2 linked regions of the Anolis sagrei genome follow. The main gene of each other region encodes a partner of the protein of the gene in region 2 in a complex. Links are inferred from orthologs where the notes say so. Each region holds a gene or a part of one and is shown on either strand. Other genes may lie near its edges.

What was found. The genes of interacting proteins can lie anywhere in the genome.
Region 1: the proteins of GALR1 (region 2) and GAL are in contact, whole or in part, in a cryo-EM structure (PDB 7WQ3), measured with the Homo sapiens proteins. The link is inferred for Anolis sagrei from reciprocal best matches to the Homo sapiens genes GALR1 and GAL. Residues at the interface, in NP_001471.2 of Homo sapiens: Glu32, Gln92, Thr94, Val95, Tyr96, Leu98, Pro99, Thr100, His112, Gln174, Phe177, Arg180, Gln184, Phe186, Cys187, Trp188, Glu189, Gln190, Ile266, His267, Ala270, Phe275, Leu277, Ser281, Phe282, Arg285; in NP_057057.2 of Homo sapiens: Gly33, Trp34, Leu36, Asn37, Ser38, Gly40, Tyr41, Leu42, Leu43, Gly44, Pro45, Val48.

Annotation. Positions count from the first base shown.
Region 1 is NC_090021.1:239,137,473-239,141,072, forward strand, and holds the start of GAL (galanin peptides), read right to left. Parts: upstream 2,525-3,600; 5' UTR 2,309-2,524; intron 1,981-2,308; coding exon 1,900-1,980; intron 1-1,899. UniProt on the Homo sapiens protein: Endocrine hormone of the central and peripheral nervous systems that binds and activates the G protein-coupled receptors GALR1, GALR2, and GALR3.
Region 2 is NC_090024.1:74,603,089-74,607,032, forward strand, and holds the start of GALR1 (galanin receptor type 1), read left to right. Parts: upstream 1-1,296; 5' UTR 1,297-1,910; coding exon 1,911-2,618; intron 2,619-3,944. UniProt on the Homo sapiens protein: Receptor for the hormone galanin. The activity of this receptor is mediated by G proteins that inhibit adenylate cyclase activity.

The sequences.
Region 1 (3,600 bases), on a different chromosome or scaffold from region 2:
GCCTCAAACAGACAAGACATTTGCCTCAAGCAGACAAGAGTTCTTTCTCCCACCCTGGACATTCCACAGATAGATAGATAGATAGATAGATAGATAGATAGATAGACAGATAGAGCCTAGTTTGCAACAGACCTCACAACATATTGTTGAAGGCTTTCATGGCTGGAATCACTGGGTTGTTGTGAGTTTTCCGGGCTGTATGGCCATGTTCCAGAAGCATTCTCTCCTGACATTTCGCTGCATCTATGGTAGGCACCCTCAGAGATTGTGAGGTTTAAGCTATTCAGAAGTGACATTGTTTAAGCTATTCAGAAGTGACTCTCTTGATTTCAATTGGATTGAAATCCCATTACTGTATTTCTAAAAACAAAGTGTGTTTAAAAATCAGGACTGGCCCCAACTTTCAATTACAACCTCTGAGGATGCCTGCCATAGATGTGGTTGAAATGTCAGGAAAGAATGCTTCCAAAACATGGTCATACAGCCCAGAAAGCTCACAGCAACCCAGACCTCACAACCTTTGAGGATGCCTGCCATAGATGTGGATGAAACGTCAGGAGAGAATGCTTCTGGAACATGGCCATACAGCCTGGAAAACTCATCGCAGCCCAATAATACAGTATTTCTTCAATTGTAGGATGTCACTGACTGTAAGGCGCACCCTAATTCCAGTAGCACCTTCACTTGCAATTCTAAGATGCATCTCATTTTTAGATTTTTAGATATAGAGGAGGAAATTGTGTCTTAGAATGGAAGAAAATTATAACAACCACCACAACAACATAAAACCAAACACCCATCCTATCAAATCAGGTGCTATATGCTTTATTTTATTTAGGTAAAGGTTTTCCCCTGACATTAAGTCCAGTCGTGCCCGACTCTGGGGGTTGGTGCTCATCTCCATTTCAAAGCCGAAGAGCCGGCATTGTCTGTAGACACCTCCAAAGTCATGTGGCCGGCATGACTGCAAGGAGTGCCATTACCTTCCCCCCGGAGCGGTACCTATTGATCTACTCACATTTGCAATTTTTTAAACTGCTAGGTTGGCAGAAGCTGGAGCTGACAGCGGAAGCTCATGCCACTCCCCAGATTCGAACCTGTGACCTTTTGGTCAACAAGTTTAGCAGCTCAGTGGTTTAACCCACTGAGCCACCGGGGGCTCCCTTATTTTATTTATTTCATATCAAAAGCATTGCATAAAGTAGTATAAAACCGATAAAAATAGAAGGAGCACAAGCAGCTAAATATCTTTGGACCAAAAATGGGCAAAAAAACCCGAATTGTCTATAGCCTCCAATAATTCTTCCCCTGTACATAGAATCCTAGAGTTGGAAGAGACCTCATGGGTCATCCAGTCCAACCCCCTGCCAAGAAGCAGGAAAATTGCATTCAAAGCACCCCTGACAGATGGCCATCCAGCCTGTATTTAAAAGCCTCCAAAGGAGATTCCATCTGAACATTAGGAAGAACTTCCTGACTGTGAGAGCCATTTAGCAGTGGAACTCTCTGCCCCGGAGTGTGGTGGAGGCTCCTTCTTTGGAAACTTTTAAACAGAGGCTGGATGGCCATCTGTCAGGTGTGCTTTGAATGCAATATTCCTTCTTCTTGGCAGGGGGTTGGACTGAATGGCCCAGGAGGTCTCTTCCAACTCTGTGATTCTATGATTCTAAGGAGCTTCCACCACACTCAGGGGCAGAGAGTTCCACTGCTGAACAGCTCTCACAGTCAGGAAGTTCTTCCTGATGTTCAGATAGGGCAGGACATTGTGGACAAGCATACAGGCGCGGAGATGTCTGTTCTGCTCCACGGTCGCACAAGGTGGAGGATTCTAGGTGCTGATTCAGGTGGGGGGGGGGGGGGAGAGAGAAGCAAACACCAGATTTGGAAAGGAGTACTTACAGATAAGACCAGCCCGAAAGTCTCCGAGAGGGCAAAGCAAAAGATTAAGGAGATAAACAGGAGGCTACTCCACCTCTGCATCTGAAAGGAGATCAAAATACAGTTAATGCACAGTGCCAGCTGGTTTTAGGAGAGGGTAGAGATTAAGGCAGGTGTATGGCCAAACTTGGGTCCTCCAGGTGTTTTGGACTCCAACTCCCAGAATCCCTAACAGCCTCAGGCCCCTTCCTTTTCCCCCTCAGCCGCTTAAGCGGCTGAGGGGGAAAAGGAAAGGGCCTGAGGCTGTTAGGGATTCTGGGAGTTGGAGTCCAAAACACCTGGAGGACCCAAGTTTGCCCATATGCCTGCATGAGAGTATTTCTTTTCCCCTCGCCGCCTGTGAATGCAAAGAGAGAGGAAAAGGCTGCACCTTGGAGAGCGAAGTCTGGGCTCCTCTGAGGCTGGACTCTGAGTCGAAAGAGAGAGCGATAGATAGATGGGGCGGTCTCTTCAGCGGGTCTCTCTCTGCCTCTCTCTCTCTCTGTGTGTTCACTGCATGCCTTTCAGGGCGGAGAAGTGGTATTTATGGAGCCCGGGCTGGCCTCTCCTTCCCTCCAAGGGGCGAGAGCCGCCCACGGCCTCCCAGTGGCCCAGGCAGGGCATTAGGAAGGGCAAACACACACACACACACACACACATGAAAGGAAAAGGACCGCGATTCAATTAGCGGCAGGCAAGATGTGGGCTGCAGATGGAGCAATTACCTTTCATTACGCGGGGAGGGGGGGGGGGGAGAGAGAGAGACTCCCGCCTTCCTCCTTTCCTTCTCAACTTCAGGACTTCTTCTTTGTTGTTGTTGTTGTTGTTGTTGTTGTTTTGAGAAGGAGGGAGGCACCTAGGCTTCCCTAGACTAGGCATTTTCGTCCCCTTTTTCAAACTCTTATGGTACTCCTTCGACTTCTCGCCGGCAATTTACTTTTAACAGCCTCTGAGGATGCCCACCATAGATGCAGGCAAAACGTCAGGAGAGAATGCTTCTGGAGCATGGCCCTGCAGCCCAGAATGTCAAGGCATTTTATGGTACTCCTTCGACTTCTTACTTTTCACAACCTCTGAGGATGCCCGGCATAGATGCAGGCAAAGCTTCAGGAGGGAATGCTTCTGAAGCATGGCCCTACAGCACGAAAAACACACACCAACCCAGGGCCCTTCCACACAGCCCTATATCTCAGAATGTCAAGGCCTCTCCTTATTCTGGCTCTCATGGTACTCCTTCAACCTCTTACTTTTCATAACCTCTGAGGATGCCCGGCATAGATGCAGGCAAAATGTCAGGAGAAAATGCTTCTGGAGCATGGCCCTACAGCCCAGAATGTCAAGGCCTCTTATGGTACTCCTTTGACTTCTTACTTTTCACAACCTCTGAGGATGCCCGCCATAGATGCAGGCAAAACGTCAGGAAAGAGTGCTTCTGAAGCATGACCATACAGCCCAGAAAACACACAACAACCCAGGGCCCTTCCACACAGCCCTATATCTCAGAATGTCAAGGGCTTCCCTTCTTCTGGCTCTTATGGTACATCTTCAACTTCTTACTTTTCACAACCTCTGAGGATGCCTGCCATAGATGCAGGTGAAACGTCAGGAGAGAATGCTTCTGAAGCATGGCCCTTCAGCCCAGAAAACACACAACAAACCAGGGAACAGAATGGGAAAAGGAAC
Region 2 (3,944 bases):
CGCAGAATATCTTGACTCTTCAAATCCTAGTCCCCTGGAACTGAAGGCAGGAGAAAAGAAAGGCAGTCAGAACCACGGAGGCAGCGAGAGTCTGTTTGAGGAAGATAGGCAGCCAGGCGTTTTTCTCCATTACCAGAGGAAAGTTAGAAAGAAACACAGGACTTTGGTGGCCTCCGAAAGAAAGAAAGAGAAAGGGAGGGAGGGAGGGAGGGGGAGGGAGGGAGGAAGGAAGGAGAGAGAGAGAGGGAAAGAAAGAAGGAAAGAAAGAGGGAAGGAAAAAGAAAAAGAAAAAAAGGGAGAGAGGGAAGGAAGGAAGAAAGAAAGAAAGAGGAAACGAAAAAAAGAAAAGAAACAAAGGGAGGGAGAGAGGGAGGGAAGGAAGAAGGAAGGAAAGAAAGAAAGAAAGAAAGGGAAGGAGGGAAGGAAGGAAGGAAGAGGGAGAGGAGGAAAGAAAGAGTGAAGGAAGAAAGAAAAGAAAGAAAGAGAGGGAGAAAGGGAAAGAAGGAAGAGGGAAGGAAAGAAAGAAAGAAAGAAAGAGAGACTGAGAGGGAGGGAAGCAAGGAAGAAACAGAGTGAAAGAATGAAAGAGAAAGAAAGAAAAAAGAAAGAAGGAGGGAGAGAGGGAAGGAAGGAAGAAGGAGAAAGAGAGAAGGAGAAAGAAAGAGGGAAGGAAGGAAGGAAGAGGAAAGGACGAAAGGAAGAGTGAAAGGAAGGAAAAAGAAAGAGAGGGAGGGGAGAAAGCAAGGAAGGGGAAGGAAGAAAAAAAGAGGAGGAAGGGAAGTCAGGAAGGAAGAGGGAATGAAAGAAGGTAAGAAAGAAAGGGAGAGGAAGGGAGGAAAGGAAGGAAAGAGGGAAGAAAGGAAAGAAACAGAGGGAGGGAAGAGGGAAGGAGGAAAGAAAGAGTGAAGGAAGGAAAAAGAAAGAAAGAGAGAGGGAGGGAAGGAGGGAAAGAAGCAAGGAAAGGGAAGGAAGAAAAAAGAGGAGGAAGGGAAGGAAGAAAGGAAGGAAGAGGGAATGAAAGAAGGTAAGAAAGAAAGGGAGGAGAAGGGAGGAAAGGAAGGAAAGAGGGAATAAAGGAAAGAAACAGAGGGAGGGAAGAGGGAAGGAGGAAAGAAAGAGTGAAGGAAGGAAAAAGAAAGAAAGAAAGAGGGCAGGAAGGAAGGAAGGAAGAGAGAGGGAAGGAAAGAAGGAAGAAAAATAGAGATAAAGAGAAAGAGAGAGAGAGCGCGCGTGAGGACCGGCAGGGGGAGGAGCGTGGGGCTGGGAGGCGTGGGCGAGGCGGGCCGGAGGAGGAAGAAAAGGCAGCGGGAGCTCCGGCCAAGCAGACACTCGGCGGCAGGTCCTCGCCCGACCATTGCTTCCGCCGCCTCTGGCTGCTTTGCTCGACGGGCTAAGAAGCCAACAAGAAGGAGGAGGAAGAGAAGAGGTCTTCTTCTCCAGCCTCGGGAGAGAGACGGGTCTCCCCTTCTCGCTGGACCTGAGTGCGACCCATGGGCGGCATCCAGGGATCCCGAAAAGTCGCCCCAGGCTCAGGCTCCACACCGCACCTCCTCACCTGAAAGAAGTTTGCTAAGGAGGAGGCAACGGGGCTCCTGCCAGACTCGCAAAAGATGAAGTCGGGATAGGACACACCTTGGGTCTTGTGGGGGAACCCTTCCAAGGTCGGGATGGACGCATCTCCTTTAAATCCAGGGGTTTACTCATAAAAACGGGGCTGGAGGGGGAAAGCAAGTTGATACTCAGACTCCGAGGACTCTAGCAGGTGGGTTGGTGGTGGAGAGAAAAGAAGTAGGCTGGTGTCTTTTTTAAGGGCTGGGGGATTTTTGTATTTTAGTTGATTTTAAACTAAAGTTTATTTAGTTCCTCCCTGCTCCCCCTCACAGTTTCTTGGTCCCCACACCACCCAGAGTATGGACCCCGAATCGATCTCTATGAACCGGACCCAGGACTTCTCCTGGCTGGACCCCAACGCCTCCAAGCCATCCTCTGAGCAGCCCTCGAAGCAAGAGGAGGGCAATGGCAGCTTCCTCTCGGAAATTGGCATCGAGAACTTTGTCACGCTGGTTGCCTTTGGCCTCATCTTCATCCTGGGGGTGCTGGGCAACTCCTTGGTCATCACGGTGCTGGCCAGGAGCCATCCGGGCAAAGTCCGGAGCACCACCAACATTTTCATCCTCAACCTGAGCATCGCCGACTTGGCCTACTTGCTCTTCTGCATCCCATTCCAGTCCACAGTGTATTTGCTCCCCAGCTGGGCGCTGGGCACCTTCATCTGTAAGTTTATCCACTATTTCTTCACCGTCTCCATGCTGGTTAGTATCTTCACCCTTTCAGCAATGTCGGTGGACCGCTATGTGGCCATTGTCCACTCGCGGCGCTCCTCATCCCTGCGGGTGTCCCGCAATGCTCTGTTCGGCGTAGGGGTCATCTGGCTACTCTCCATCGCTATGGCTTCACCTGTGGCTCACCACCAACGCATTGTCCACCAGGACATCATTAACCAGACCTTCTGCTGGGAAGTGTGGCCTAATATTCAGCACAAGAAAGTCTACGTGATCTGCACATTTGTCTTTGGGTACCTGTTGCCTCTGCTCCTCATCTCATTCTGTTATGCTAAGGTGAGTACAGTTGAATCCACTCCAAAGGATCCTTCATGAAAGTGCATGAGATCTCTGTGTAGGAAAGGCGCAGCTCCAGGGTGAAATGTGATGTACAGTAAACTAAAACAGGATAAGAGTATCACAGCCATTGGCCATACCCCAGTTACATCCCACTAGTGGCTAATTTTTTTCTCTTGCTTTGCACAGAGGCATATGTGCAGCATAAAGGTTTGAATGGACTTTGATAGAGCATGCAATGAATTTGGAGTGTGTCAGATAGGAGTGAGTAACTTCTGCCTGGTGCAGATATAACCACATCATGTTTTTGTTGTTGTTGTTCATTTGTTCAGTTTTTTCTGACTCTTCATGACCTCATGGACCAGCCCACGCCAGAGCTCTCTGTCAGCCGTCACCACCCCCAGCTCCTTCAAATTAAACATCATGTTTAATGTGAGCTAAAACATGAAGGTTACGTATTGTTGAATGCTTTCATTCTGGAATCATTAGGTTGTTGTGAGTTTCCCAGGCTGTGTGGCCATGTTCCAGAAGCATTCTCTCCTGATGTTTCACCTGCATCTATGGCAGGCATCCTCAGAAGTTGTGAGGTCTGTGGGAAACTGGGAAAATTGGGTTTATATGTCTGTGTAATGTCCAGGGTGGGAGAAAGAACTCTTGTCTGTTCGAGGTAGGTGTGAATGTTTCAATTGGCAACCTTTATTTGCATTTAATTGCCTAGCAGTTCTGGCTTCTTACTGCCTGGGGGAATCCTTTGAAGTTTATGATTGTAAAGATTTTATTGTGTATACCAAAATTTAGATGTGAAAAACATCTCAAGTGTGATAGTTTACATCTCAAGTGTGATAGTTTTGGGATGGGTTTAGCTACAAAATATGAAAAAAGCACACACAGGCATGTTATCTGAATTTGAAAATAAAGTTTGCAATACTCTTAAGAGAACTCTAAAATTGTATCTGTAAACGGCTCAAATTTGACTTGTACCATCTATATTTTTCAAGAGTTCTTTTAAGAGTATTGCAAACTTTATGGTTTATGTATGCAAGATCTAACTCTGACGTTACAAGAGTGTAGTTCTGTTCCATTCACACAGTATATACATCTTCACTGTTTGTGGGTCACTTAAATGATTCATTTCTCACATGTGTCTTCAAGTCCTCTGTTGATTTATGGCAATTGCATGAATTTCGTAGGCATGGCAAGAAATAATCTGAGCTGGATTTGCCAATTCTTTCTTCTGAAATATATCTTACAGCACCTGGTATTCATTGGTAGTCTTTCACCCAAGTACTTACCAGGACTGCTTTGCTTTAGGGTATTTCACCGCTC